Elephas maximus indicus: one gene and its partner. The protein of the gene in region 1 interacts with the protein of each later gene in a pairwise test. Links are inferred from orthologs where the notes say so. Each region holds a gene or a part of one and is shown in the gene's direction. Other genes may lie near its edges. The genes, in order: FEZ2 and SCOC.

Region 1 (16,147 bases):
ACTCCAGAAGTTTCCCTCATGTCCTTTTGCAGTTAATGCCCCAACCCCAACCCACCCTATGCCCCAGGCACCACCAATTTGCTCTCTGCCATCATACATTAGTTTTCAGGACTTTTTAGATTCAAAGGATCTTGGTTAGTAATGAGGCAAAGAATTCAGGGTGTTCTATATATTTATACAATGATTTCAAATCGCATATATCACTATTATGCTTTCAAAATACATATGTAGTACGCATAGTATGAACTTAGAAATATGTTTTGTAAGGCTTTGTGAGGCTCTCTAACATTAACTACAAGTCATTAGAAATCTGTAAGTCATAATAAATTTATTTAGAAAATTTCTGAACTTAGACATAGAAACATAGAAGCATGTGAAATATGGAAGGAACATAAACAACCTTTAAGTTCACTTTGACCCGGCATGCTGTGACTTAAAACGTAACACAAATCTCAACAACCTCCCTAATCTCTAATCTTGAAGAGAAGATATGTCATTTGGCTACTCTCTAATCTTGCAGAAAAGACGTAGTAGTCTTTGACGTCACACTGGCCCTTGTCATGTGGAGCTAAGGTGACAAATTCACATATAAACCCTGAATTTCTGCTCACTCACTGAGAGAAGGCAGAGGGAAACACCAAGAGACTGCTGAGACTCTGTCTGCTGCCGCCAGCCTTGGACCCTAGCTTCTAGGGACCCCCGCCAAGTTCCAGCAGTGGCCAAGCCTTCCTCCTGAGATCTCTTGTTAAATGTAAAAGCCTGAAGTCTAAAGATTTGGACTCCAGCCATGTAACTAACACTGTAATTGTAATTTCGATTCTCTGGTTCTAAATGAATATTGTGAGGTCTTGCTTGGGTGCCTTGCCATGACTACTTTGAAATAAACTAAATGAGTTTATGTATGTCAAACCTGAGTATCTCTCTATTAATTATCTAAGATAAAATCCTACACAACAAAGGGTCAGTAAATAGAGGCAATGGATAGGCTCTGGGAGACAAAGATATTGGAACATGTACAAGGACCCCAGTGTTAGAGACACAACCTTGGTTTTGCTAGTGTACAAAAAAAATGTCAATTTGGTCAGTCAAAGTTAGAAAGAACTCTACCCTGTAGAAAGACGAATGACAAGGCGAAAAGCCAAAATCACAATCTTCTGAGGAGAAGACATTATAGGGAATATATTACATTCACATTGTTATAGCTCTATTATTCTAATTTTTCTTATAGTCTTAAAGGAGGCAAGAAAAATTCTTTACAATTTTAAAGATCCATATGCATATCCATGTCCTCTTGTTGAAGGAAGAGTTCTCCCTCCTCATTCTTTGTTCCTCATTCTTAGTAAGAATGTATAGTGGTAACAGTTGTAGAAGAAAGAGCACATAGAGGATATCATCCCAAGAAGCCTCGACATGTAAAATACTAAAAGCCTTAAAATTAAAAATATATATATTAGATAACTTTTGGTATATTCAGTTGTGCACAATCTTAATTTCAGATAAGAAAATTAAGAATATTTAAAAGCAGGAAATTCAGGCCATTTAGATTGTACATTTGTTGCTATCAATTATAGGATCCTTCAAGGTTAAATTATTGTTGTTGTTGTTAGGTGCTGCTGAGTCAGTTCTGACTCACAGTAACCCTATGTACAACAGAACAAAGCACTGCCCGGTCCTCTGCCACCTTCACAATTGTTATGCTTGAGCCCATTGTTGCAGCTACCATGTCAATCTATCTCGTTGAGGGTCTTCCTCTTTTTTGCTGACCCTCTACTTTACAAAACATGAGGTCCTTCTCCAAAGACTAGTCCCTCCTGATAACATGTCTAAAGTACGTGAGACAAAGTCTTGCTATCCTATCTTTTAAGGAACATTCCAAAACAGATTTGTTCATTCTTCTGCCAGTCCATGGTATATTCAATACTCTTTGTCAACACCATAATTCAAAGGCATCTATTTTTCAGTCTTCCTTATTCATTGTCCAGCTTTCACATGCATATGAGACAATTGAAAATACCCTGGCTTGGGTCAGGCACACTGGCCCTCAAGTGACATCTTTGCTTTTTAATAATTTAAAGAGCGCAGTAGATTTGCCCAATGCAGTATGTCGTTTGATTTCTTGACTGGTTAAATTATTAGAACAATTATAATTTAGATAAAAAAAACTACCGCCAGTAATCCTTCTGAGACTAGCATTTGATTATCCAGATCACAGGGCATGTGCTTGGCAGTTTCTTTCCAATCCAGCTATTTTAGTACTTTGTAAGGGCTCAGCTATGGAAAGTCACCTTGGCTCCTTCTATTGGGGGCCCTCCACTGTTTCTGTTCAGCCTGGTTCTGCTTGATCAAGGTCCTAATTAAATGCATTGAAACTGAAGGCATAACTATTCACTAAAGATGCATCCCTATCAAACTTGAATAATTAGAATTAAACAATCTTTATTAATAAAGGCTAGGTTAGCCTGAGACCAGAAGAACTAGATGGTGCCCGGCTACAACCGATGACTGCCCTGACAGGGAACACAACAGAGAACCCCTGAGGGAGCAGGAGAGCAGTGGCATGCAGACCCCAAATTCTCATAAAAAGACCAGACTTAATGGTCTGACTGAGACTAGAAGGACCCCAGGGGTCACGGCCCCCAGACCTTCTGTTAGCCCAGGGCAGGAACCATTCCCAAAGCCAACTCTTCAGACAGGGATTGGACTGGACAATGGGATAGAAAAAGATGCTGGTGAAGAATGAGCTTCTTGAATCAAGTAGACACTTGAGACTATGTTGGCATCTCTTGCCTGGAGGGGAGATGAATCTGGCTATGTGAGGTATAACAAAGTGAGATAACCTCTTCTTTACCGCAAGCCTTTGGGAGCTCATGGATTGATCTAAACAGGTAAAACTGGCAGAAAGTCTGAAGTTTTGCTGGTGGAATGTACACAAAATGAGAGAGTGGAGGGAAGGAGAGGGCTGTCTCTTTAGTGGGAGAACGATTAGGAGTATATAGCAAGGTGTTTATAAATTTTTATATGAGAGATTGACTTGATTTGTAAACTTTCACTTAAAGGACAATAAAAATTAAAAAAAAAATAAAGGCTAGGTTGTGGTCTTCAGTTACTTGAAAGGATCTCGATCGTTTCTTTTTGAAACAGAGACAAAATGGAAAGAACACATTCCTAGTGCGTGAACCCTGAAACTCAAGTTGTAGACTAGGGATGGGAGAGCCTATGTAGAGATGTATATGGGGTTTGGACGCACAGCTTGAGATGTCTGCATGTTTGCATTTGAGACCACTCAGGATGTGGTCTAGAGACAAAATGGAAAGAATACTACCCTTTCCATTTTTGGCAAGCCAACAACATTTGTTTAAATTCTTAGGTCAACATATTGATCTCTAAATTCTTTTTCCTTTTGTTTCTTCAGTTTTTCCCTTTCTTCCAATTATTGAATAGTTTTTTTTTTTTATTAGCTTATCTTTTCAAGAAATTTTCATTTATGTACATTTTTCATTGTCTTAGGGTTGCTTTATAATCTTCAGCTTTTGCTAAATACGGTGCTTTGACAACCAGATTATTTTCTGGTCTTGTCTCCAGTAGTTTCTTTCTTTTTCCAGTTCTTATATTTCCTGATTAATTATACCCTTAGATAAAGTCTATCTGTTGAATTATCTACTTTTTTGTTATTTAAATTTCTACTGTGGTGTACTACATATGTGCATAATTTAAGTATATTTTCAAACCAGAAAAGTAACTTTTCTCATCTTAAATGATTAATATGAACATAATACTCAAGCACCACAAAGCTCTCTACATTACTCTATATTCCCTTTCTAATTTTGAATCAAGCACTGAAAATTAGTTTTATAGGGTAACATTTCATATCAATTTAGCTAGCATATTTTCATTGGACCTCTAGGCATTGGTAGGAAATAAAAGGTCTGAAATGAACTGATTGTGGTGGACAAACTTGTAGAATCTGGCTATGTGAGGTATAACAAAGTGAGATAACCTCGTCTTTACCACAAGCCTTTGGGAGCTGATGGACTGATCTAAACAGGTAAAACTGGCAGAAAGTCTGAAGTTTTGCTGGATATGTGGCAATGTTTGTGGTTATTGTTCTATGCCATACAGTTGGTTCCCACCCATAGCAGCCCTATGTACAACAGAACTAAACACGGCTCCGTGTCCAAAGTATATGACATGAAGTCTCGCTCTCCTCCATTCTAAGGAGCATTCTGACTGTACTTCCAAGGCAGATTTGTTTGTTCTTCTGGCAGTTCATGGTATATTCAATATTCTTTATCAACACCATAATTCAAAGGCATTGATTCTTCTTTGGTCTTCCTGATTCATTGTCCAGCTTTCACATGCATATGAGACAACTGAAAATACCATGCTTAGGTCAGGCATACCTTAGTCCTCAAAGTTACATCTTTGCTTTTTAACACTTTAAAGAGTCTTTTGCAGCAGATTTGCCCAGTGCAATACATTGCTTGATTTCTTGACTGCTGCTTTCATAGGTGTTGATGAAACCCTCGATAACTTCAATCTTTTCTCCATTTATCATGATGTTGCTTATTGGTCCAGTAGTGAGGACTTTTGTTTTCTTTATGTTGAGGTGCAATCCATACTGATGGCTCTGTGCTTTAAGTTCTCTTCTCTTTCAGCAAGCAAGGTTGTGTCATCTGTATATCACAGGTTGTTAATGAGTTTTCCACTAATCCTGATGCTGCATTCTTCATCATGTAGTCCAGTTTCTTGGGTTGTTTGCTGAGCACATAGATTGAATAAGTAAGGTAAAAGGATACAACCCTGACGTACACCTTTCTTGACTTTAAACCACAAAGTATCCCCTTTTTCTGTTCGAATGACTGCATCTTTGTATATGCACATGTTTCTCGTGAGCACAATTAAGTATTCTGGAATTCCCACTCTTTACAATGTTATCCACAATTTGTTATGATCCACACAGTCGAACGCCTTTTCGTAGTCAGTAAAACACAGGTAAACATCTTTCTAGTATTTTCTGCTTTCCGCCAAGATCCATCTTACATCAGGAATGGTATCTTTTTTTTTTTTTTTAAATAATTTTTATTGAGCTTTAAGTGAACTTTTACAAATCAAGTCAGTCTGTCATGTATAAGCTTATATACACCTTACTCCATACTCCCACTTACTCTCCCCCTACTGAGTCAGCCCTTCCATCTTTGTATTCTATGTCCTCTTCTCTGAATCTCACTTGAACTTTTGACAGTTCCCTGTCGATGTATTGTTGAACTGCTTTTAAATGATCTTCAGCAAAATTTTACTTGTGTGTGATATTAATGATATTGGTCAATAATTTCTGCATTCTGTTGGATCGACTTTCTTTGGAATGGGCACAGTCGGTTGGCCAGGAAGCTGTCTTCCAAATTTCTTGACATAGATGAGATGAGTGAGCACTTCCAGTGCTGCATCTCTCTGTTGAAGCATCTTATTGGATACTCTGTCAGTTCTTGGAGCCTTGTTTTTCTTCACTGCCTTCAGTGCAGCTTCGACTTCGTTTAGTACCATAGGTTCTTGATCATATGTTACCTTCTGAAATGTTTGAACGTTGACCAATTCTTTTTGGTACAGTGACAGCGTGTGTTCCTTCCATCTTCTTTTGATGCTACTCGCATTGTTCAGTATTTTACACTGTAGAATTCTTCAACATTGCAACTTGAGGCTTGAATTTTTTCTTCAGTTCTTTCAGCTTGAGAAATGCCAAGTGTGTTCTTCCCTTTTGGTTTTCTAATTCCAGGTCTTTGCACATTTCATTATAACACTTTACTTTGTCTTCTTGAGCTGCCCTTTGAAATTTTCTGTGCAGTTCTTTTACTTCATCATTTCTTCCTTTCACTTTAGCTACTCTATGTTCAAGAGCAAATTTCAGAATCTCTTCTGACATCCACGTAGCAATGTTAAAAAAACCAAACCCATTGCTGTCGACTTGATTCCGACTCATAGCAACTCTTTAGGATAGAGTAGAACTGCCCCATAGAGTTTCCAAGGAGTGCCTGGTATATTTGAACTGCTGACCTTTGTGGTTAGCAACTGTAGCACTTAACTTCTGTGCCACCAGGGTTTCTGTAGCAATGTTAGGAAGCTAGAATTTGGCAAATGGCAAATAGTGTTGCTGGGATGTGGGCTATGGTTGTTGTCAGGAAATATGAGGTAAAAGGGTATAAGATGGTAAGAGCAGTCTGAGTCAAGTACCAAAGAAGCTAAAGAAAAGGGTGGGTACAGGCACTAGGGCCACAGCCTGGGCGGAACCCAGTGTCCTGTCGGCTGTTCTGGGAGGCTGGAGCAACTTTTAGTCATCACTTATCGCATGGGGAGAGGCTTGTGGAAGGCACTGAATACAAATATTTTTACTTCACAATTTTACCTGGTTAGTTATCCCACCACTTAAACTGTTTTCTGCTATTTCTCTTTCATGTTCACAGTGACTATTTGTAATCTGTAAAGGCACAGATTAGCATTTTGTTCCCTACTACAGTTTCTATTCTCATTGCTCGGTCCTCATAAAGTGGTAAAACCACAGACATATATAATCAGTTTTCTCAGTGACACATTTTGTTGGAGCATTTTTATAGATTGCATTGACTGCCAAGTTTATTATGGGTAAAAAAAAAAAAAACTCACTGCTGTCGAGTCGATTCTGGACCCCTAGCGACCCTATAGGACAGAGTAGAACTGCCTGATAGAGTTTCCAAGGAGCGCCCAGTGAATTCGAACTGCTGATCTCTTGGTTAGCAGCCGTAGCACTTAACCACTACACCACCAGGGTTTCCTTATTATGGGTGTGCAAATATAAATTAAGAAATGATTCAAATCCTGTTTTTGCAATTCAAAGTGTCCAGGGTGACACAAGGTAGTTTGCATTTAATTAAAAGTAAAAAGCATCCTGTGTAGAAAATTCGACTAAAATAAAATTCTGAGATCATAACCCTGTGGCAGTTTATTGCCAAGCAAATGAAAAGGTTGACAGTGCTACATTTGGGTTCTCAGAGTAAGTGAATTTTATTTCCACTCATAGATTCAGACAGACCACATAGGTAAACGGAGATACAAGTCAAGAAGAAAAAACAAACACACAAACAAAAAAACAATTTTGCCTTAGCTATCTATGTACACACTTCAGAGAGTGTGAGTCAACTCAGTATTCTCATAACTTTGTGTGTGGCTACAAACCTAGAGAAAAACAGCTCTTTGATAGGTTTAGAGCATCGCTTTGAGTAACGTTCAGATAGGTAAATGTCAGCTGAACCAGAATATTTTCTCATCAACCCCAAAGGTATTAACTGGTGGCTAATTAGTTCTAAGGAACCAGGGGGTGCAGTGGCTTAAAAGTTTGGCTGTTAACCAAAAGGTTGGCAGTTGAGACCCAACAGCCCTCTGTGGGAGAAAGATTTACAGTCTTGGAAACCCTGTAGGATAGTTCTACTCTGTCGTACAGGGTTACTGTAAGTCGGAATCCACTCAACAGCAATGGATTTGGGTTAATTAGTTCTAACTCTTGGCCAAGCAGAACTCAGGATTTGCTCCCTTTAAGGTTTCGGAGGAAATAGGGAACAATCTTGCCTGTAATTATCAACAGTTTCTTAGGCTCAATCACAGAAATATTTTGTTTAACATGGGACAAGAGATAACAATTGGAATGGGAAATAAGAAAATGTTGGTATTAACATATATTCTTGAGGATGGGTTTCCATGCTGTCAAAAGATGGACAAAGTATACTGGGAAAAATCTTATTTTCCAATTCCAATTTAAGGTTTGTTTTTCTAAAATACCTCCCCTTTCATGGTCAGCTTCGGCCCACGTTGTAAATGAAGTATTTGGTTACTCCAGTCCAAAGCTATCACTCTTATCAACTCTTAAGCATTTATTGCCTCTATATAATCAAGTCACCTTAAAATCATACTAATTTTTTATATCATACGAGAGATTTCCTGTTAGTCTTATCACACCCCCCACTACATTGTAAGCCCCTTGTAGGGAGCAGTGTGGATTTGTGGCCCTTACTAAGTGTAAGGCTCTGGTCTAAGTGCTTTGCAAATATTAACTCACATAATTATTAATCTTCATATGTTCCACAGGATGCAGCACAGCACGTAGGAGACATAAAATATTTGTGGAATGAATTTTGTACCATTTGAGCATTTCCCAGAGACTCTGGCTGTTATTCTGGTTGGAATGTTATAAAAGGACCAGGTTACTGTGTTGTTGGTATGTTGTTAGGTGCTGTCAAGTGCTTCAGACTCATAGCTACCCTATGTACAACAGAACGAAACACTGCCCACTCTTGTGCCATCCTTACAATCACTGCTAAGTTGGAGCTTATTGTTGTAGCCACTGTGTCAATCTATCTCATTGAGGTTCTTCCTCTTTTTCACTGACCCTCTACACTGCCAAGCATGATGTCCTTCTCCAATGACTGGTCCCTCCTGATAACATGTCCAAAGTATGTGAGATGCCTTGCTTCTAAGGCTGTACTTCTTCCAAGACAGATTTGTTCATTCTTCTGGCAGTCCACGGTATATTTAATATTCTTTGCCAGCACTGTAATTCAAAGGCATCAATTCTTCAATCTTCCTTATTCATTGCCCAGCTTTCACATGCGTATGAGTTGATTGAAAATACCATGGCTTGGATCAGGTGCACCTTAGTCCTCAAAGTAACATCTTTGCTTTTCGAAACTTTAAAGAGGTCTTTTGCAGCACGTTTGTCCAATGCAGTACCTCATTTGATGTCTTGACTGCTGCTTCCATGGGTGTTGATTCTGAGCCAAGTAAAATGAAATCTTTGACAACTTCAATCTTTTTCTCTCTGTTTATCATGGTGTTGCTTATTGGTCCAGTTGTGAGGATTTTTGTTTTATGTTGAGGTGTAATCCATATGGAAGGCTGCAGTCTTTGATCTTCATCGATAAGTACTCCAAGTCCTCTTTGTTTTCAGCAAGCAATGTTGTGTCATCTGCATACGGCAGGTTTGAATGAGTTAATGAGGGGTTACACTAGGGAGACTTGATGAGATGGATTGACATAAGAATTCAAACATACCAAAGATCACGAAGATGGCTGAGGAACAGCAATGTTTAGCTCTGTTACACGTAAGATGCCATGAATTGGAGGCCACTCAATGGCAACTAACAACAACACTCTAGGGAAACACCTTGGGGCAAAATTGGACACTTCCCCAAACTTCCATCCAGTAGATTCCAATTCATGGCAACCTGCTGTGTTACAGAGTAGAACTGCTCCATAGGCTTTTCTTGGCTGTAATCTTTACAGAAGCAGATCACCGGGCCTTTCTTCTGGAGCCGGTGGGTGGGTTGAACTGTCAAGCTTTATGTCAGCGGTTGATTGCACCACCCAGGCTGCAACTTAAAGGAATCTTTTATTTTAAACACATTTGAGCCAAATTTCCAGTAAGAGAACAAAGAAGGAAGATATTTCGAAATGACAGTGACTCAACACAGTGAAGGTTGTCCTTTCTATGTATGGCACCAACTGTCAACTCTGAGAAGATGGAGGGAAATGAAAGGCTAGGGAACTGGGTGGCTGGGACAGAAGACCTCCAAGTAGCAGGAGGAAGGGGGTAGGACACGGTATTTGGAGGCGGGGCCGGCCGCCGGGGTGGGGCGGGGCCGACGGCGAGGAGGGCCGAGCCGGCCGGGGCGGGGCGGGAGCCGTCAGGACCAGACAGCAGGGTGGGGCGGGGCCGGCCGGGGCGGGGCCGGCTGGCCGGGGAAGGGCGGGGCCGGTCGGGGCGGGGCGGGGCCAGACGGGACCTGTCAGGGCGGGGCGGGACCAGTCGGGTCGGGGCCGACGGCGGGGTTGGGCAGGGACGTCGGGGCGGACCGGGGCGGGGCCCGGCCAGTCGGGTCGGTGCCGACGGCGGGGCGGGGCGGGGCGGGGCCGGCGGGGCGGGGCGCGCGGCGGCGCCGGGAGGTGATGGCGGCCGACGGGGACTGGCAGGATTTCTATGAGTTCCAGGAGCCGGCCCGGAGCCTCCGGGACGAGGAGAACTGTAACGCGAGCCCCGAGGCCGGGGCCGGGGCAGGGGCGGGCGGGGGAGGTATCGGCTTCCCCGCGCTGGCCCGCAGCTTGGAGGAGAAGCTGAGCCTGTGTTTCCGGCCGTCGGGCGCGGGGGCCGATCCCCCGCGGGCGGCCGTGCGGCCCATCACGGAGCGCAGCCTCCTGCAGGGGGACGAGTGAGTGCGGCCCCTCCTTCCCCTCCCTCCCTCCCCCGTCGCCCGGTCCGCGGCCTCGGCGGGACTTCGGCGCAGGCTCCTCCCCGCACCCCCTTCCGCCTCCATGGACCAGGAGTCCCCGCCCCCTGCTCTTCCTCCCGCTTCCACTGCGCCTCCGGCCTCTGCAGCCCCTGCGAGCTGGGAGATCAAATCCCGGGTCCGCGCCTCCCACGCGGCCTCGACGCTCCGCCGCTGCCCCTCCGTCCCCTCTTTCATAGAAAGGAAGCCGGTGTTTGGTTTAGAGGGAGCCTCCTTGTACCCAGCCCGTAGTGAGAGACCGTCCCCACTGGGGCACGTGTGTCGCCATTCATTCGGTCAAAGAGCAGTTACTAAGCTCCTGCTAAGTGCCAGGCAGTGCCTCGCGCTAGGAATACAAGATGACTGCGACACTGTCTTTCTAAAGTAGGACACAGCCTAGGATGGGAGATTGATTTGAAAACACATGATTCGTATGGTCTGAAAAGTGCTGTAATGGGTATGTGCGCAAAATACGGGCGATCTAAAAGATGTGTGGGGGAGAGTCAGGAAAGCCTTCATAAAGAAAGCTGTGAAAACTGGATCCAGGTGAATGTGCAGGAGTTCGCCTGGCAGGTGAAGAAAGGTCTGGCGTTCTGGGCTGATGATATCCCACGTTTAAAAGTACTAAGTGTGAAACAGCACTTATGCCATAGGTATTTATTGGGCCCTGCAGAGTGTCCAGGTAGAGTGCAAGCTGCCGCAGAGGCTAAAAGGAAGGGCTCTGGATATTAATGGCAAGGATCTTACAGTGTGGTGGGGAGGCCAGTGCATAAGCAGTGGGAAGAGCCACCTAAATGCAAAGATAAGAAATTCACAGTGATTTATGAGAGCTGGGGAAGAGGCAACAGCAGAGCTCCTGGAGCACTTTATTTGACCACCCTGACCCCCAGTTATAATGTGGTGGAGTAAAAGTTGTAACTACAAAGCGGCATTTTACCTCAGAAGATGGTCAAAAGTGAGAGCTCAGAAAGTGAGCATATTGTATATACATGGGGAGAGGAGCTACTGGAGAGGCTGAAGGTAAAATTAACGGAGTGAGGACTGAGGATGTGGGTAGGGATGGTTTTCAGAGCATTGGTGGGGTGGAGAGAGTAGAGATTAGGGAACACAGTCTCTCTCAGAGAGGGAGAAGGATCCATGGCACAGAACGGTGTTCCAGCATGATGGCTTCGGTTTCCTCTGTGAACGAGGAGATAGACCAGGGATGAGGTAGGGAACTTGAGGAGAGTTGGAAACGGGCTTGTAAACAGTGCTAAGCAGTGTATGGCCCAGCTGTGCTTGGAGACTATATATATATATACTTTTAGTTTTTAAATACATTTTAATTTTTAGAGCAGTTTTAGGTTTACAGAAAGATTATGCAGAATGTTGTTAAAAAAAAAAATTTAAGAATGTTGTTAGGTGCCGGCAAATAGATTTCAACTCATAGTGATCCCATGTGACAAAATACAACTGCCCCCATAGGGTTTTCTAGGAGCAGATTCCCACTCACACTTTGAACCTCCAAACTTTTGGTTAGCAGCCAAGTACTTAACTGCTGCACCACCAGGGATCCTTATGCAGAAAGTACGGAGTCCAAATACACCCCATAGGCATTGTTTTTTCTATTGTTTCTATCTTGCATTCCTGTGGTATATTTGTTACAGTTGGGGAACCATCACTGGTATGTTATTAGCTGAGTCAGTGGTGTTTTGTGGTAGAAATCTCACCTTCCAGGCCAGAGCCTTCAGTTTGATTCCCAGCCAGTGCACCTCCTGTGGAGCTACCACCCATCTGCCAGTGGCGGCTTGCTTGTTGCTGTGATGCTGAGCGGGTTTCAGTGGAGCTTCCAGACTAACCCAAATTAGAAAGAAAAGGCCTGGTGGTCGATTCCCAGACAGTCACTGGAAGCCCTACGGATCACAGCAGTCTAATCTTTAACCCATCATAGAGATGGAGTAGGACCAGGCAACATTTCATTTAGTTTACATTAGGGTTCACTGATTGCATTGTCCAGCCCTATGGGCTTTGACAAATACGTAATGTCATGTGTCACCATTACAATATCATGCAGAATAGTTTCACTGCCCTAAAAATGCCCTGTGCTCTGCTTATTCATCTTTCCACCCTTCCCCCTGAGCCCTTGGCCACCCCTGATCTTTTCATTGTCTTTCTGTTTTGGCAAAACTGTATGTTTTTACTGATACATCTTCACAGTGTTCTGCCCAGGCAGAGGAGAAAAAAATTTATGATGGATTTTATGCACACAAATATGCATGCTGTCAACAACAAAGATGACAGTTTTGGAATCTATTCCGAAAGAAAAAATAGCTATATATGTGTAGATGTACCTGCCCTGAATCGCTAGAACTCACAACGTATTCTGGATTTTAAAATTTACTACGTATCAAGAGTTAACATACTCAAAACACATCAGTGGTTTGTATATAGACAATTAGAGGTTCCTGTTTTTGCCTCACAAGTACTGTCTGGAAGCAGTCTGTTTTAAGCCTTTGTTTAGATCACAGGTTGATGTGAAACTTAAAATATTTTGTTACGTTCGAAAACAGTTTTTAGTAGATATATTCCTGGTAGTACACATCCCTCGATTTGGTACATAAGAAATTTCTTTTTCTCTGTTCAGGGCCTGGGGCTGGTCACCATGGTCATTGTCCCCTTTCCAGTGCCTGAATCTGTTTGATAGAGCCCATCATGCTCCTTTCACTAGAGATTTAGAATTCTTTTTCTCAGATATTCCCTTGCTTTAGGGCATTTTAAGGAACCCTGCCGAGTCAGTGGTTAAGCACTGGGCTGCTGACTGAAAGGTCCACTGTTCAAACTCACCTAGTGGCTCTGTGGGAGGAATACTTGGCTATGTGCTTCCATAGAGATTACAGCCAAGAAAGCCCTATGGGCTCACTATGAGTCAAAATCCGCTCCATGGCACCTAAGGACAACAACAACAGGGCACTTTATTTAACTGTTCTGAGTCCAGCTTTAGTTTTGGTTAGATACAGAGTGTACTTATCTACCAAGGCTTTACTTTAGAAGGGTGTCTTCAGGATTCAGTGTTGTCAGACTTTGACCTCCCTAGAGCTGTTGTTTGTGATTGGTTGTAATATGTACATGATAAGCATGAAGACAGTTCATGTCTTGACTGGAGAATTCCAAAAATCTTTCAGGTAAGTTGGCCCTGTGTCCTTCCAGTTGCAATTGTTTTGGTCTTGGTGGAGATGAAAACCAAAACTCATTGTCGTGGAGTCTATTCTGACTCATAGCGACCCTATAGGATAGGACAGAGTAGAACTGCCTCATAGGGTTTCCAAGGAGCACCTGGTAGATTAGAGGACTGTTAATTGTTCTTTATTTTCTTAGAAGATCAAATTCACCCACAATCCCTTCTTCTAGGTAAAGTATTCCATTGCGCTTGTCCTTTTTTTGATAGTCTCATTTAAGAAGGAGCAGGCAAGCAGACAAAACAAAACCCAGAAACTATGGACTATTTTCACCTGCTAGACTATCCTACTGACTTTCATGACCAGGGTTTAGATATGCAGTCACTGCTTCAGTATTTGAAAATTTCAGCCAGGAAGGTGTGGACCAGAAACCCGGCAAGGTTAGCAACCCAGAGGCCTTAACATCTTTTCCTGGCACGTTGGCATTAGAGGAGACCTGATTCCAACAGAGAGGAGAATAGAAATGAGCTGTGCGAATGGGGATTTGCTGGGTAAACGAGATGGTTTTCAAGAGCTTCTTGAGTTCACGTTTTTAGCGAGGCTGAATGTGCGTTCCAAAGGCAAACGTCTTTTGGGACTTTATGATTTGGCAGTTGTGGTCCCATGGCTGCTGCTTTTTAGCACTAAATCCCTATTCATTAAATCAAGTATGCTGCCTCACTATTTTAAAATCTTGTATTCTTATTTTTATGTGCCCATTGTATCGTATTTGTTTTCCAGTGGCTTACACTTGGAAAAATTCCAACCAGTTATTGAATTGCTTATTCACAATTGTTGACATTAGTTGCTGTCAAGTTGATTCCGACTCATAGCAACCCTGTATATGCAGAGTAGAACTGTGCTCCATAGGGCTTTTGTGGCTGAGACCTTTTAGAAGCAGATTGCCAGGCCTGTCTTCTGAGGCACCTCTGGGTGGGTTTGAACTCCCAGCCTTTCGCTTAGTAGTCCAGCGCGTAACCACTTGTGCTGCCCAGGGACTATTCACAATTAGATACCCATTATAATTTTCAGATTTTTTTTTTTCTTATGACATCCATTTGTATACCTCTAGCCTTTAAATTATGGTGTTGGCGAAGAATATTGAATGTCATGGACTGCCAAAAGAGTGAACAAATCCGTCTTGGGAGAAGTACAGCCAGAATGCTCCTTAGAAGTGAGGATGGCGAGACTTTATCTCACATACTTTGGACATGTTATCAGGAGGTACCAGTCCCTGGAGAAGAACATCATGTTTGGTAGTGTAGAGGGTCAGTGAAAAAGAGGAAGACCCTCGAGATGAATTGACACAGTGGCTGCAGTAATGAGCTCAAGCATAACAACAATCACGAGGATGGTGCAGGACTGGGCAGTGTTTCGTTCTGTTGTACATAGGGAAATGACTCTACGGCGCCTAACGACAACACAGCCATGAAATAGCTTTTATGTGTAGTGTTTAACTTTACTTGCCCAGTTAATGAGATACATCTCATTTGTATCTCCGAACTCTGTTTTTGTCATACAACTTCATGTTTTATTACGCTGATTGTTACTTTAGTACTGAAACCTGAATTTCAGTCACGAAACTGGAGCTTGTTGTCCATATCTGGTGTGTTTGAGACTTTCCTCAATGCAACTCATTTGAATCAATACTTAGACTAATAGAGCTAGAGGGAATGTCTGCTATTCTTGTCCAAGCCTCTCATTTTATAGAAGGGTGGCTGATACTTAGACAGGTTAAGGGGCTTGTCCAAAGACTCTTTGTTTACGGAAGAATGGAGACAGGAGTCTGTGTTTCCTGAATCTCAGTCAAGTGCCATTTTCGTTTTACCCTACTGCTGCCCCAAACTGCCATTTGATAATAAGGTAGGGTAATTGCAGTAGATATTTCATTGCGAAGTCTGTCTCTTTCTCCTTTCATTCATTTCTGTCTTAGTTGTTAGTTTATTATATTTCAAATTAGATTTAAAATCCCTGTCTCTACTCGCATTGAGCCTGAATAGGGGTACTTTTCTTCAGAAAGTATAACACATCTTTGGTTAGAGAGAGATTATTGACTTTTATGAAACAGTCTATATGTTTGGAAGGAGCCCTGGTGGTGCAGTAGTTAAATGCTTGGCTGCTAGCCAAAAGCTCAGTGGTTTGAACCCACCAGCCCCTCTGTGGGAGAAAGATGTGGCAGCCTGCTTCTGTAAAGAGTACAGCCTTGGAAACCCTATGGCAGTTCTGCCGTGTCCTGTAGGGTCACTACAAGTCCGAATAGACTCGATGGCAAAGTTTTTTTTTTAATATGTTTGAAAGTTACAGAAAGAAAAGTGTAAAGTATGGTGTGGCTGCTACCTGTGTGGCCTGGAAACATTACTTGAACTCTCTGTGCCTTGGTTTCCTCATCCATAAAACAGGTAATAATGCATCCTACCACATAATATTGTTTTTAAAGATTAAGTGAGTTGATATATGTAAATTGCTTATGACAGTGCTGGCACACAGTACAGTTGAAGTGTTCGCCATTATCATCAGTAGTAATAGTTTGTAAACATCTAGGAGCTGGGCACATACTGACTTTGGGAGTTTCCTACGCTACCTTTCCTGAGGACTTGTCAGCCCAGTTATATGATTTCCATTTAGTCTTGTTTATCATGCTCTACTTTGGTGATGTTTTTCTGAGAAACG
Region 2 (15,313 bases), on another chromosome or scaffold:
CTGGCGGTCAGCAGTCTGTTCATGTTGGGAGTGACAGGAGAAGGGCTCCCGACGCAGGCGTGTTGAACTCTGGCGGTCAGTAGTCTGTTCATGTTGGGAGTGACAGGAGAAGGGCTCCCGACGCAGGCGTGTTGACCTCTGGCAGTCAGCAGTCTGTTCATGTTGGGAGTGACAGGAGAAGGGCTCCCGACACAGGCGTGTTGAACTCTGGCGGTCAGCAGTCTGTTCATGTTGGGAGTGACAGGAGAAGGGCTCCCGACGGAGGCGTGTTGAACTCTGGCGGTCAGCAGTCTGTTCATGTTGTGAGTGAAAGGAGAAGGGCTCCCGAGCAGGCGTGTTGAACTCTGGCGGTCAGCAGTCTGTTCATGTTGGGAGTGACAGGAGAAGGGCTCCCGACACAGGCGTGTTGACCTCTGGCGGTCAGCAGTCTGTTCATGTTGGGAGTGACAGGAGAAGGGCTCCCGACACAGGCGTGTTGAACTCTGGCGGTCAGCAGTCTGTTCATGTTGGGAGTGACAGGAGAAGGGTTCCCGACACAGGCGTGTTGAACTCTGGCGGTCAGCAGTCTGTTCATGTTGGGAGTGACAGGAGAAGGGCTCCCGACACAGGCGTGTTGAACTCTGGCGGTCAGCAGTCTGTTCATGTTGGGAGTGACAGTAGAAGGGCTCCCGACACAGGCATGTTGAACTCTGGCGGTCAGCAGTCTGTTCATGTTGGGAGTGACAGGAGAAGGGCTCCCGACGCAGGCGTGTTGAACTCTGGCGGTCAGCAGTCTGTTCATGTTGTGAGTGAAAGGAGAAGGGCTCCCGAGCAGGCGTGTTGAACTCTGGCGGTCAGCAGTCTGTTCATGTTGGGAGTGACAGGAGAAGGGCTCCCGACACAGGCGTGTTGAACTCTGGCGGTCAGCAGTCTGTTCATGTTGTGAGTGACAGGAGAAGGGCTCCCGACACAGGCGTGTTGAACTCTGGCGGTCAGCAGTCTGTTCATGTTGGGAGTGACAGGAGAAGGGCTCCCGACACAGGCGTGTTGAACTCTGGCGGTCAGCAGTCTGTTCATGTTGGGAGTGACAGGAGAAGGGCTCCCGACACAGGCGTGTTGACCTCTGGCGGTCAGCAGTCTGTTCATGTTGGGAGTGACAGGAGAAGGGCTCCCGACACAGGCGTGTTGAACTCTGGCGGTCAGCAGTCAGTTCATGTTGGGAGTGACAGGAGAAGGGCTCCCGACACAGGCGTGTTGAACTCTGGCGGTCAGCAGTCTGTTCATGTTGGGAGTGACAGGAGAAGGGCTCCCGACACAGGCGTGTTGAACTCTGGCGGTCAGCAGTCTGTTCATGTTGGGAGTGACAGGAGTAGGGCTCCCGACACAGGCGTGTTGACCTCTGGCGGTCAGCAGTCTGTTCATGTTGGGAGTGACAGGAGAAGGGCTCCCGACACAGGCGTGTTGACCTCTGGCGGTCAGCAGTCTGTTCATGTTGGGAGTGACAGGAGAAGGGCTCCCGACACAGGCGTGTTGAACTCTGGCGGTCAGCAGTCTGTTCATGTTGGGAGTGACAGGAGAAGGGCTCCCGACGCAGGCGTGTTGAACTCTGGCGGTCAGCAGTCTGTTCATGTTGTGAGTGAAAGGAGAAGGGCTCCCGAGCAGGCGTGTTGAACTCTGGCGGTCAGCAGTCTGTTCATGTTGGGAGTGACAGGAGAAGGGCTCCCGACACAGGCGTGTTGAACTCTGGTGGTCAGCAGTCTGTTCATGTTGGGAGTGACAGGAGAAGGGCTCCCGACACAGGCGTGTTGAACTCTGGCGGTCAGCAGTCTGTTCATGTTGGGAGTGACAGGAGAAGGGCTCCCGACACAGGCATGTTGAACTCTGGCGGTCAGCAGTCTGTTCATGTTGGGAGTGACAGGAGAAGGGCTCCCGACACAGGCGTGTTGACCTCTGGCGGTCAGCAGTCTGTTCATGTTGGGAGTGACAGGAGAAGGGCTCCCGACACAGGCGTGTTGAACTCTGGCGGTCAGCAGTCTGTTCATGTTGGGAGTGACAGGAGAAGGGCTCCTGACACAGGCATGTTGAACTCTGGCGGTCAGCAGTCTGTTCATGTTGGGAGTGACAGGAGAAGGGCTCCCGACACAGGCATGTTGAACTCTGGCGGTTAGCAGTCTGTTCATGTTGGGAGTGACAGGAGAAGGGGTCCCGAGCAGGCGTGTTGAACTCTGGCGGTCAGCAGTCTGTTCATGTTGGGAGTGACAGGAGAAGGGCTCCCGACGCAGGCGTGTTGACCTCTGGCGGTCAGCAGTCTGTTCATGTTGGGAGTGACAGGAGAAGGGCTCCCGACACAGGCATGTTGAACTCTGGCGGTCAGCAGTCTGTTCATGTTGGGAGTGACAGGAGAAGGGCTCCCGACACAGGCATGTTGAACTCTGGCGGTCAGCAGTCTGTTCATGTTGGGAGTGACAGGAGAAGGGCTCCCGACACAGGCGTGTTGACCTCTGGCGGTCAGCAGTCTGTTCATGTTGGGAGTGACAGGAGAAGGGCTCCCGACACAGGCGTGTTGACCTCTGGTGGTCAGCAGTCTGTTCATGTTGTGAGTGACAGGAGAAGGGCTCCCGACACAGGCGTGTTGAACTCTGGCGGTCAGCAGTCTGTTCATGTTGGGAGTGACAGGAGAAGGGCTCCCGACACAGGCATGTTGAACTCTGGCGGTCAGCAGTCTGTTCATGTTGGGAGTGACAGGAGAAGGGCTCCCGACACAGGCGTGTTGACCTCTGGCGGTCAGCAGTCTGTTCATGTTGGGCGTGACAGGAGAAGGGCTCCCGACACAGGCGTGTTGAACTCTGGCGGTCAGCAGTCTGTTCATGTTGGGAGTGACAGGAGAAGGGCTCCCGACACAGGCGTGTTGACTTCTGGCGGTCAGCAGTCTGTTCATGTTGGGAGTGACAGGAGAAGGGCTCCCGACACAGGCGTGTTGAACTCTGGCGGTCAGCAGTCTGTTCATGTTGGGAGTGACAGGAGAAGGGCTCCCGACACAGGCGTGTTGACCTCTGGCGGTCAGCAGTCTGTTCATGTTCGGAGTGACAGGAGAAGGGCTCCCGACACAGGCGTGTTGACCTCTGGCGGTCAGCAGTCTGTTCATGTTGGGAGTGACAGGAGAAGGGCTCCCGACGCAGGCGTGTTGACCTCTGGCGGTCAGCAGTCTGTTCATGTTGGGAGTGACAGGAGAAGGGCTCCCGACACAGGCGTGTTGAACTCTGGCGGTCAGCAGTCTGTTCATGTTGGGAGTGACAGGAGAAGGGCTCCCGACGCACGCGTGTTGACCTCTGGCAGTCAGCAGTCTGTTCATGTTGGGAGTGACAGGAGAAGGGCTCCCGACACAGGCGTGTTGAACTCTGGCGGTCAGCAGTCTGTTCATGTTGGGAGTGACAGGAGAAGGGCTCCCGACACAGGCATGTTGAACTCTGGCGGTCAGCAGTCTGTTCATGTTGGGAGTGACAGGAGAAGGGCTCCCGACACAGGCGTGTTGAACTCTGGCGGTCAGCAGTCTGTTCATGTTGGGAGTGACAGGAGAAGGGCTCCCGACGCAGGCGTGTTGACCTCTGGCGGTCAGCAGTCTGTTCATGTTGGGAGTGACAGGAGAAGGGCTCCCGACGCAGGCGTGTTGAACTCTGGCGGTCAGCAGTCTGTTCATGTTGGGAGTGACAGGAGAAGGGCTCCCGACGCAGGCGTGTTGACCTCTGGCAGTCAGCAGTCTGTTCATGTTGGGAGTGACAGGAGAAGGGCTCCCGACACAGGCGTGTTGAACTCTGGCGGTCAGCAGTCTGTTCATGTTGGGAGTGACAGGAGAAGGGCTCCCGACGGAGGCGTGTTGAACTCTGGCGGTCAGCAGTCTGTTCATGTTGTGAGTGAAAGGAGAAGGGCTCCCGAGCAGGCGTGTTGAACTCTGGCGGTCAGCAGTCTGTTCATGTTGGGAGTGACAGGAGAAGGGCTCCCGACACAGGCGTGTTGACCTCTGGCGGTCAGCAGTCTGTTCATGTTGGGAGTGACAGGAGAAGGGCTCCCGACACAGGCGTGTTGAACTCTGGCGGTCAGCAGTCTGTTCATGTTGGGAGTGACAGGAGAAGGGTTCCCGACACAGGCGTGTTGAACTCTGGCAGTCAGCAGTCTGTTCATGTTGGGAGTGACAGGAGAAGGGCTCCCGACAGAGGCGTGTTGAACTCTGGCGGTCAGCAGTCTGTTCATGTTGGGAGTGACAGTAGAAGGGCTCCCGACACAGGCATGTTGAACTCTGGCGGTCAGCAGTCTGTTCATGTTGGGAGTGACAGGAGAAGGGCTCCCGACGCAGGCGTGTTGAACTCTGGCGGTCAGCAGTCTGTTCATGTTGTGAGTGAAAGGAGAAGGGCTCCCGAGCAGGCGTGTTGAACTCTGGCGGTCAGCAGTCTGTTCATGTTGGGAGTGACAGGAGAAGGGCTCCCGACACAGGCGTGTTGAACTCTGGCGGTCAGCAGTCTGTTCATGTTGTGAGTGACAGGAGAAGGGCTCCCGACACAGGCGTGTTGAACTCTGGCGGTCAGCAGTCTGTTCATGTTGGGAGTGACAGGAGAAGGGCTCCCGACACAGGCGTGTTGAACTCTGGCGGTCAGCAGTCTGTTCATGTTGGGAGTGACAGGAGAAGGGCTCCCGACACAGGCGTGTTGACCTCTGGCGGTCAGCAGTCTGTTCATGTTGGGAGTGACAGGAGAAGGGCTCCCGACACAGGCGTGTTGAACTCTGGCGGTCAGCAGTCAGTTCATGTTGGGAGTGACAGGAGAAGGGCTCCCGACACAGGCGTGTTGAACTCTGGCGGTCAGCAGTCTGTTCATGTTGGGAGTGACAGGAGAAGGGCTCCCGACACAGGCGTGTTGAACTCTGGCGGTCAGCAGTCTGTTCATGTTGGGAGTGACAGGAGTAGGGCTCCCGACACAGGCGTGTTGACCTCTGGCGGTCAGCAGTCTGTTCATGTTGGGAGTGACAGGAGAAGGGCTCCCGACACAGGCGTGTTGACCTCTGGCGGTCAGCAGTCTGTTCATGTTGGGAGTGACAGGAGAAGGGCTCCCGACACAGGCGTGTTGAACTCTGGCGGTCAGCAGTCTGTTCATGTTGTGAGTGACAGGAGAAGGGCTCCCGACGCAGGCGTGTTGAACTCTGGCGGTCAGCAGTCTGTTCATGTTGTGAGTGAAAGGAGAAGGGCTCCCGAGCAGGCGTGTTGAACTCTGGCGGTCAGCAGTCTGTTCATGTTGGGAGTGACAGGAGAAGGGCTCCCGACACAGGCGTGTTGAACTCTGGCGGTCAGCAGTCTGTTCATGTTGGGAGTGACAGGAGAAGGGCTCCCGACACAGGCGTGTTGAACTCTGGCGGTCAGCAGTCTGTTCATGTTGGGAGTGACAGGAGAAGGGCTCCCGACACAGGCATGTTGAACTCTGGCGGTCAGCAGTCTGTTCATGTTGGGAGTGACAGGAGAAGGGCTCCCGACACAGGCGTGTTGACCTCTGGCGGTCAGCAGTCTGTTCATGTTGGGAGTGACAGGAGAAGGGCTCCCGACACAGGCGTGTTGAACTCTGGCGGTCAGCAGTCTGTTCATGTTGGGAGTGACAGGAGAAGGGCTCCCGACACAGGCGTGTTGAACTCTGGCGGTCAGCAGTCTGTTCATGTTGGGAGTGACAGGAGAAGGGCTCCCGACACAGGCGTGTTGAACTCTGGCGGTCAGCAGTCTGTTCATGTTGGGAGTGACAGGAGTAGGGCTCCCGACACAGGCGTGTTGACCTCTGGCGGTCAGCAGTCTGTTCATGTTGGGAGTGACAGGAGAAGGGCTCCCGACACAGGCGTGTTGACCTCTGGCGGTCAGCAGTCTGTTCATGTTGGGAGTGACAGGAGAACGGCTCCCGACACAGGCGTGTTGACCTCTGGCGGTCAGCAGTCTGTTCATGTTTTGAGTGACAGGAGAAGGGCTCCCGACACAGGCGTGTTGAACTGTGGCGGTCAGCAGTCTGTTCATGTTTTGAGTGACAGGAGAAGGGCTCCCGACACAGGCGTGTTGAACTCTGGCGGTCAGCAGTCTGTTCATGTTGGGAGTGAAAGGAGAAGGGCTCCCGACACAGGCGTGTTGACCTCTGGCGGTCAGCAGTCTGTTCATGTTGGGAGTGACAGGAGAAGGGCTCCCGACACAGGCGTGTTGAACTCTGGCGGTCAGCAGTCTGTTCATGTTGGGAGTGACAGGAGAAGGGCTCCCGAGCAGGCGTGTTGACCTCTGGCGGTCAGCAGTCTGTTCATGTTGGGAGTGAAAATGCAGTTTCACCGAAGCAGCACCACTTTCACATTAAATTGATGCTGGTAGTTTAAACATTATTAATTTTTTAGGTTATCTGGCTGTGTTCTCATTGTTAAGTTGGAATGACATTCATTTGCAGCTTTCTGCATCCTGAGACTAAGTGGATGTCACTTTGCATCCCACATTAAAATATCACTCTTGCTACTTTTTTTTACTATGTAGAGAAGAGCCCGGATGTGTGCATGGCAAGGACAGGAGTCAGAAAGCTATTTCAGTAACCCAGATCCAAAAGAGAATTGCTTGGACCAGAGCACGTGGAGATGAGACAGTGAATGATTATCAAATTTTGGATATACTTTCCTGCATCAACAGGGCTTACTGTTGAATTCAATGCAGTATATGAGAGAAAGAAGAGTCAAGGATTATGCCAAGGTGTTTGATCTAAGCATCTGGACAGACAGGGCTGCCATTTACTGAGATAAAGAAGATTGTGAGAAAAGCAAGTTTGGGGTATGTGTATGGAATAATAAGTTCTTTTTTTTTTTTTTTCTTTTTTACCATATTGTGTTTGGCATGCCCAGTAGACACACAAGTGGGATGTTGAGAAGAGAGTTAGCTATACCTGTCTAGGGCCTAAGTGGAAGATCCATGCTGGAGATATAAATCACAGAGTTGACAGCATATAGATGGTGACCAATGGCAATAAGGTTAAATAGTGAGTATAAATAGAGAAGAGGTCTGTGGACCCAGCCCATTGGCTCTCTGACATTTAAATATTATGGCGATAAGGAGAGTAGAAAGGAGCAATTCTTAGACTTGGAAAGAATTAACAAGTAGGAAATGTAAATTAATTGGCTTTTTAATTCTTTCATAATAATTTTCTAGGACAGTGATTAATTGTAAGGGCAAATAAATAAACAAAAGTCATAGATTCCTTAAAGATACGATAAAATTAGAAATAAATAACAAGCAAAAAGCGAGCAAACAAGTAAAAACTTGACTTTGTTAGTGCCGTGATCATAAAGGATTTTTTTTTTTTCTTTTTTTTGGTCAGTTCTCTGTCCTGACCATATTTAACAGATCAACAGTATTCGACACAGTTGAGCTTTCCATTATAATTTATTTTTTCTATGGCCAATGAACAAAGTTATTGTACTAATTTACATTCCCAATAGCAACAAATAATAGTTCTGTTTCCCCACATCCTTAGCAACACTTATATCTGACACAGTAATTGTATACTTACAGGCACCTTCTTTTCCAATTTTCTTTTTGTTTATCCTTGTATCACTACTACATTTTTAAAAGTTGCTTTTCGTAGTTTCTTTTGTTTTTTGGTGTTCTACTGTTTCAGCACGAAGTGTCTACATATGGAATTCTTTACATTAATCTTGCTCAACAATAAGTGCTTCTTAAATCTGAGCATTTAAATATTCCACCAACCCTGGAAAATGCTTTGAACGCTGCCCCATTCTCTCTGGTCTCTCCTTTTGGCACTTCTATTAATGTTAGACTTTTCTTATTTTCCGTTTATTTATCTCCGGTATTGCATGCTAGTAAATTTCCTGAAGTTGTGCGTTGTAGTTCCGGCCAAATGTAGAGCTCTCAAACACTGAATGGAAGATTTTTTTAATGCAGCCCTTAAAAGGACTAAGGCTGTATATCAGCAAACTGTGACAGAAGCAAAATGGAAAGAAACAGGCAGGCATGAGGCTAACCCCAGCAGCTCCGGAGACTGTGCCAAAGTCAAAACATGGATCTCTGCTGGTGTCCCCACCTTATAAAAAAAACAAATACTAAAAACAAGCAGGATTGTGCCATGTGCCAATTGCTAGACATCGATAAACAGTGTCAAGCAAGACCACATTATCATCCGAAAGCTGGCGTGTGTCATTTTGTACTGCAGGTTTGACCTTGAGCAAGAGATTTCTTTTTCTCTAAGCGTCAGTTTCTTTCTTGGGTTGATGTGAGGGTCAAGTGCGATGAAGTGAGCAAAAGCGCTATACTAAAGTGCTATTGAAGTATTTTCTCAATTCTAAAATATCATTTGTCAGGGGCACTAAAGATTTAATAATAGTTTGAGGGAGGCAGGCAGGGAGAACATTCCACTTCACGGACACTTTACGAGCATTTCAATTTGGGAAATAAAAAATATGGTAAAGTCTACTTTTAGAATCAAGGAACAAAGGTATTGCCTTGGCTCTCTCTCTCTTCAGTTCACAAATGCCCCTTTCTTAAATTTGAATGATTTTTCCCTCGCCTACCTTTCGGCTAAAGCAACCGTTTTCCTGACAGCAGCCGGGATTATCCGGTCAGGATTTCTGATCCCAATTTTCAGGTTACTGCAGAGACTGAGGAAACCCTGGTGGCATACTGGTTAAGAGCTATGGCTGCTGACCAAAAGACTGAAAGTTCGAACCCACCGGCACTCCTCTGAAACCCTACGGGGCAGTTCTACTCTGTCTTAGAGTCCCCATGAGTCGGAATCCACTCCACGGCAACCGGTTTGGTTTGTTCCTTTTGCTGTGCTACAGCTGCTAACCAAGTTTGAATCCACCAGGTGCTCCTCGGAAAGCCTGTGGGGCAGTTCTGCTCTGTTCTATAGTGTCCCTATGAGTCGGAATCAGCTTGATGGCAGTGGGTGGGTGGTGGGTGGTGGGGGATGGGGCTGGGGGTGGGTGGTGGGGGATGGGGCTGGGGGTGGGTGGTGGGGGATGGGCTGGGGGTGGGGGTGGGGGGTGGTGAGGCCCAAGAGCTGCATCGCCTGGACCGGCTATCACGCGCTTAACCTCGCCTCCGTACTTTCATTGGCTGTTGCTCTTCCCGGACACGCCCATCCTTCCTTGCCCACAACGACCTGAATCCTGATTGGAAGCCAATGTCCTTTTATTACAGCAAAAGATAGATCAGGTGCTTTGAGCCAGGAAGAGTGGGGCGCCGGGCAGCTAGTACGCAGGCGTGTACTCTGAGCGATGATTGGCTGGCAGCTGTGTGGGCCGAGGCGGGACTTCTGGCTCGGCGCATGCTCCGTGAGCGGAGGAGGCGGGGCTGCCCGTGTCAGTGGGCCCAAGTGTCCGGGCCTGAGGCGTCTTCCCAGCCCGTCCCTGTCGCGGCGCCTCGAACGGCAGGTGAGGGCGGTTCCGGGCCGGGGAGCCTGGAGTAGCGGCGTCTGTGCCGCCGAGGGCCGGCAGGCGGGATGGGCGGGGACGCGGGCGGAGCCCGAGGGCCGGGGGAGCGGCCTCCGCCTAGGCAGTCGGTGGGTGGGCGGCTGAGGCCTGGCTTCCTGCAGATCCCCGCGCCACCTTCCTTCGCTTATCGCGTTATCGGGCCAGAGGTACCTGTGGGGCGGGCCCCCCCCGGCCCCGGCCTCGGCCCCGGCCCCGGCCCGAGCCCCAGCCCCCGGCCCCCGGCCCCCGGCCCCCAGCCCCGGCCCCCGGGCCCCAGCCCGAGCCCCCGGCCCCCAGCCCCGGCCCCCTGCCCCCTGCCGCCTTCTCCCGCTGTCCTCGGGATCGCGACCGCGGGAGGGCCGTTTGGGCGGGATGGGACCCGGCACGACTGGACCTGCCCTGGCTGTTCTGCCGAGAGTCCGAGTTGGGGAATAGGGCCGGAAGAGGACGGGGAGGCGGGGAGGGAGGCGGGCGAGCGGTGTGATGAGCTCTGGGGGCCTATCCAGGCGCTGACGGCAGCACCCGGCTTTGATTCTCCGTTGGCTTCTCACAAGAGTCCTGCTGAACAAGTTTGGGCTGTGTGTTAAGGATTGGGGGGAAAAAGGCTACTTTCCTAGAAAGGCAAGGAAGGCTTCTGTTATCCAGTGTATCAGTCTCACTAGTACTATGACATAACAACATTAAAAGCAGTTACTTGCCTGCTGTTCCCAACCCGGTCTCTCTTCCTGTGAGGACCCATGCCTGTATATCCTCGTGAGCCCCACTGACAAAACTCAACATGGTTAGCCCCTCTCTGGGGATCTAGCCTGAGTTCAGATCCTCATTTGATCTTGAGGAATTTGAAACGTAATGTATCTAACCAGAACCAAGTTAAAACACTGAATTGGAGTGAATCTGAGCAAAGTCGATGCAGTTTAAAGGGAATGAAATTTATCTTCAGCATCAGGGGTTGTAAAATGTTGGGCAAACTTTCATTGCTGTTGTTGTGGGGTGCCGTTTAGTCGTTTTCGACTCGTAGCAAGCCCAAATGACAGAGTAGAACCACCCCATAGAGTTTTCTTGGCTGTGATTTTTATAGTGCAAAGGCTAAGGGATACTGAAAGGTTGGCGATTGTACCCATCAGCCCTTGTGGGAGAAAGGCCTGATGATTTGCTCCTGTGAAGATTACAGCCTAGAAAACCCTATGACGTAGTTCTCCTGTCACATGAGGTCACCATGAGTCAAAAACAACTGTGGCACCTAACAACAGTAATGCTTACCGAAGCAGACCTCTGGGTCTTTCTCCCGCTGGGTGCTGTGTGGGTTCACATCACCCACATTTCAGTTAGTAGCCTAACCCTTAGTCATTGTACCACCAGGGCTCCATAAACTTTGATTAGGGCCATATTAAAATTTCTTTCGTTGTTTAATGGAAAAAGCAGGGACTTTGAAGTTAGACCTGGGCTCAGATTCTTGGTACAGACATTGGTTGTGAAACTTGAGGCAAGATACATAACCATTCTGAGATTTAGTGTCCACATCTGTAAATTGCAATGTCCTTCTGTCAATTTGATGAAATAATAAGTAAAGCATTTAGTACATTAATGCGCAAAGATATTATTTTAGTAGTTTTACGAGTCCATTATAAGTAGATGACAGAGGATGGTTGGTAGATTATAGATGGAAATCTGTTTTAGATGCAGAAAAGTTTGGTGGTTTAGGCTGGGCAAATAACAGGGAAAAGTCTTAAAACCTTAAGCCTCATGTGTGAGCATAGCGGTAATGGAATGGTGGAAAAACCCACAGTGGGACATTGGCTGCAGTCTTGGCTCTGTTGATAATTAGCTCTATGATCTTGGGTAAGCCACTCTCATCTTTGGCAGGTAGACCAGATGATTTTTCTAAGGCTCTTTGGCCTGAATTGTTTAAGCACCCCTCTCACGCATTATTTTCCTAGGCGTGCTATGCAAGTTATATGTGTGGATGTGTTATTTGCAGAAAAATGTGGTATATACAGGTACTGTTCCAAGCATATTTGTGTATCAACTCATTAAATCCTCACAACAACCCCACTAGGTACATTCTGTTGTTTTTCCCACTTTACAGATAAGGAAACTGAGGCTGAGATGTTAACCTCATCTGGGGCTTCAGAGCTTATAAATGGCAGAGCTAAGGTTTGAATCCATGCAAAGTTCGTGTTCCTAATCACTGTGCTAAACTTCCTCTTGAGAAGAGGGATGTTGTGATACTATTAGTAGAAACGTAGAGGTATATTTGGGTAATGTGATAGTCTTTGGTCACAGTTAGGTGTGGGCACAGAAAAGATAACTTAGGTGATTAAATGGATCTTGTCCTAATGCTTTCCATACTTCCTGATCCTTGTTCTCACCCTACCTTCTGGTTCCTGGACTTAAATTATCAGAATAATTCTGGGTTCTCTACTACTGACCACAACTGGTTGAGGATAGGCACCAAAATTTACTGTGATTTTTGAGAAGTTTTATAAGATGTGTGACCTAGGCTTGGTTGAAGTTGAAGGCTCTTGGAGCATCATGTCCATTTCAGAGCTAAGGCAGGAGCAGGGTAGACAGGGCAGCCTTGGCTTGAACAGAGCCGCAGCACCCCACATTTGTTTCAGTGTTCTTGCACTTGAGATACTTTGGATTAGATTTTCTTTTCAAGTCAGATTTCCATTTATGTGTAGGAATGAGAAGAGTTTAAAATGAACTCATAAGAGTACATTTGACGTGGAATTGGATAGATGTGATAGCAACTGTAGATAAGGAAGGATTTTATAGTTGGAAAAATCAGTCTTGTATTGAGTACATAATTATGATATGCTGTGGTGTAGTGTGTGATAATATTTTAGGCTAAATATTGCAGTTTGAGGATTGATTGTATTTTGAAAGAAAATAATATCCACGCCTGAAATATTTTGACACAGGGATCTCAATAAACCCTTTGATCCCAGTAAGGAAGTCAGCTTGTTACTCTAAAATCTACAGAAATATTTTGAATATATACAATAGAACAGTGTTTGAGGTCGTAGTATTTCGTTACATTGCAATAGGAGAAAATTGCTACTTTTTGTTGTTGTGGAGAGACAGCAGATAATGCTCTGGTCTACTTTATTTAGAAGTAGTGCCTTTTGCATAGGGCTGTGACATACAGTTGGGCAGGTTTTGTACTGTACAACCCTTGGGGTGTGTCTTTTACACAGACTCCGTGACTGGTGCTGCCTAGGTTGTGTGGTATAGCCTACAGGACTGTCCTGGTGGCCCAGCTTTTGTCCTGCTCCCCCATTCCTGTCAATCAGTCCCAACTGTGCTTTTCTTAGAGCAATTTTTCACCTAATTAGGCCTCTAGGCCTCTCTTCCCTTGTTGTTTCTGCTTTTTTTTTTTTCATTTTTTTTTGTGTCAGATGAAGTCAAACTATTGATAAGCTATTTATAGATTTTCTGTTTGAGCCAAACAATGTGACCAAAATTTCAGAACCTGGCTTTTTTTTTCTTTATTCTCGACAGTGATTGGTCTGAAACACTTGTGCATTTGTAGAATACTTTTTGGTTTAATTTTAATGTTAGAAAGAAACATAAGCAAAATAAGTATATCCCATCCCCATACTACATCAGATTTCAAAATCACATGTATTTAATTTCATGATTATTAGTTGCTTTCGCTTGTAAAACTCTTCTCATATATTATGAAAATTGTTTTAGCTGTATTCTTCAAAAAACTCAAAAACCTGGATAATAGAAATGTTAAGCTCTTTTTATCAAAAGCTAAGGTGTACAGGGGAAATGGCCAAGTTGCAGTCTACTGTGGCCGAGTCCTCCTGAAGTCACTTACTTTTGCTTTTGGCTGTTGCCTCTGTCATCTCTCCCAGCCCTCCTTCAGCCAGATGAGTGGTTGAAATGGTATGAAAAGTGAGGATGACTGGACCTCCTTAGAAATATGCATCTCTCAGGGAAGTGTCAAATCAGGCCTTCCTTGCTAACACTCTTCCTCTTCTGTTATAAGAGATTGAATGGAGAGGAATAATTTTCTAAGTGTGATCTTCAAACACCAGAATAGGTTGAATAAGTTACCAAAAAAAGAACATTTGAAAGAATGTATACCAATCAGTCTATTTAGATTTACATGGATATACCAAGATATACATTCTTTGAAGTGCACAGAACCATGTGAAAAAGAAGTGGGAGAGAGCACCTGTAACAATGGATAAGTGGTTGTGAGTCTAGTTTCTAGTGTACAGACATCCTTGCTCCATAGGGCTGGGTTTCACTGGTTAGCATATGGAAACAACAATATCTAGGTGTAGTAAATGCTTCATAAATACTTGGTGAAAGAATAACACCATAGACAAAACAGGTCTAGGTTGCTTCAGTGTAGTAGATGAGTTAAAAGATCTGTTTTTGGTAGCAATCTGGTAGGATTATTTAATATATTTTCAGCACTTTGAAGGTGAAATCAGTGTTATCAGGTTAGCAGAACATGTTCCCCTGGAATTTTGTGGTCTGATATTTTGGAGCCTTTTATCCGAACAATGATATGTTAGTATTTTACTTATTTACAGCAGGATTCATCTGTTTTGGTTTAACTATAACCAAGAGGTGACATGGAAAACTTCCATTTATTCCATAGTAGTGTTTTAGATACATAGTATTTTTCTTTTGAATCCCCTGGACAGCAACAGGTTTTTTTTTTTTTTTTTGGTAAACAGTATCTGTAAAACAGTACTTTAATGATGAAGAGTATTTTGAAAAGGATTGGTCTTCATCCTTACCATTGTCTTTAATAACTTTTTCATTTTGCTGTGTTTGTTTTATACATATTTATTCATCTTTTACATAATTTACATCAGTGAATATACAATTTCATAAACATTCTTCCATGTTGTTACAGTCATCATAATTACTTTTCGTAGCCACTGTATTAGAAATTACAGCAGAATCTGAATGGACAATTATGTTGTTCCCAATGTATTAGGTCGTGAATAAGGTTGAAGTGAACATTTTTATATGTGTAACTTTTTCCTTCATTGTCATTGTCCTTAGGTTAAATTTCCAAGGGTAAAATTACTTAGTAAAAAAGACTTACATGTTTTTATGAATCTTATTATTGCTGCTTTCCAAAAAAAAAAAATACATATTGAAAATTTGTGTCCAATATTTGTGTATTTGTTTTTCCAAAACCTTACTAGTATTAATCATTCTCTTGCCTTTAAAAAAAAAAAATTTAATAGATGTACCAAACCAAACCGGTTGCTGTTGATTCGATTCCAACTCACAGCAACCCTATAGGACAGAGTTGAACTGCCACATAGGGTTTCCAAGGAGCAGCTGGTAGATTTGAACTGCCGACCTTTTGTTTAGCTCTTAACTACTGCACCTCCAGGGTTCCTAATAGATGTACAGGGGTATCTCATTTTATTATGCATTTTTTTTATTACCAAAGAACTGAACATATTTTATTGTTCATTAACATACTTCTCTTGTAAATTATTTATACACACCCTTTGCTATCGAATAAGGATAGCAACCAGTGGGGGTACAGTGGTTGAAGTGCTGGGCTGCTAACCGAAAGGCCAGCAGTTCGAACCCACCGGCTGCTCTGCGGAAGACGTGGCGGTCTGCTTCTGTGAAGGTGACGGCCTCGGGAACCCTATGGGGCAGTTCTGCCCTGTTCTCTAGGGTCGCTGTGAGTTGGAATCAACTCAGTGGCAGTGGGTCTGGTTTTGGGTTGGTTGCAGTTGGATATTTATTTTATTCTTAGAAACAGTAAAGCATGTGATAAGGAGCCTATTAGGTCAATAATTTAATTAAATCTTTTGAAAAAGCATTTGTGTTGCTGTATGTGTTTATATTTCTGAGT

What was found.
Region 2: the proteins of FEZ2 (region 1) and SCOC interact in binary tests that used the Homo sapiens proteins (3 or more experiments, as listed by UniProt). The link is inferred for Elephas maximus indicus from reciprocal best matches to the Homo sapiens genes FEZ2 and SCOC.

Annotation. Positions count from the first base shown.
Region 1 is NC_064844.1:27,842,958-27,859,104, forward strand, and holds the start of FEZ2 (fasciculation and elongation protein zeta-2), read left to right. Parts: upstream 1-9,933; 5' UTR 9,934-9,966; coding exon 9,967-10,226; intron 10,227-16,147. UniProt on the Homo sapiens protein: Involved in axonal outgrowth and fasciculation.
Region 2 is NC_064823.1:2,551,712-2,567,024, reverse strand, and holds the start of SCOC (short coiled-coil protein), read left to right. Parts: upstream 1-9,220; 5' UTR 9,221-9,314; coding exon 9,315-9,420; intron 9,421-9,448; exon of another isoform or gene 9,449-9,626; intron 9,627-15,313. UniProt on the Homo sapiens protein: Positive regulator of amino acid starvation-induced autophagy.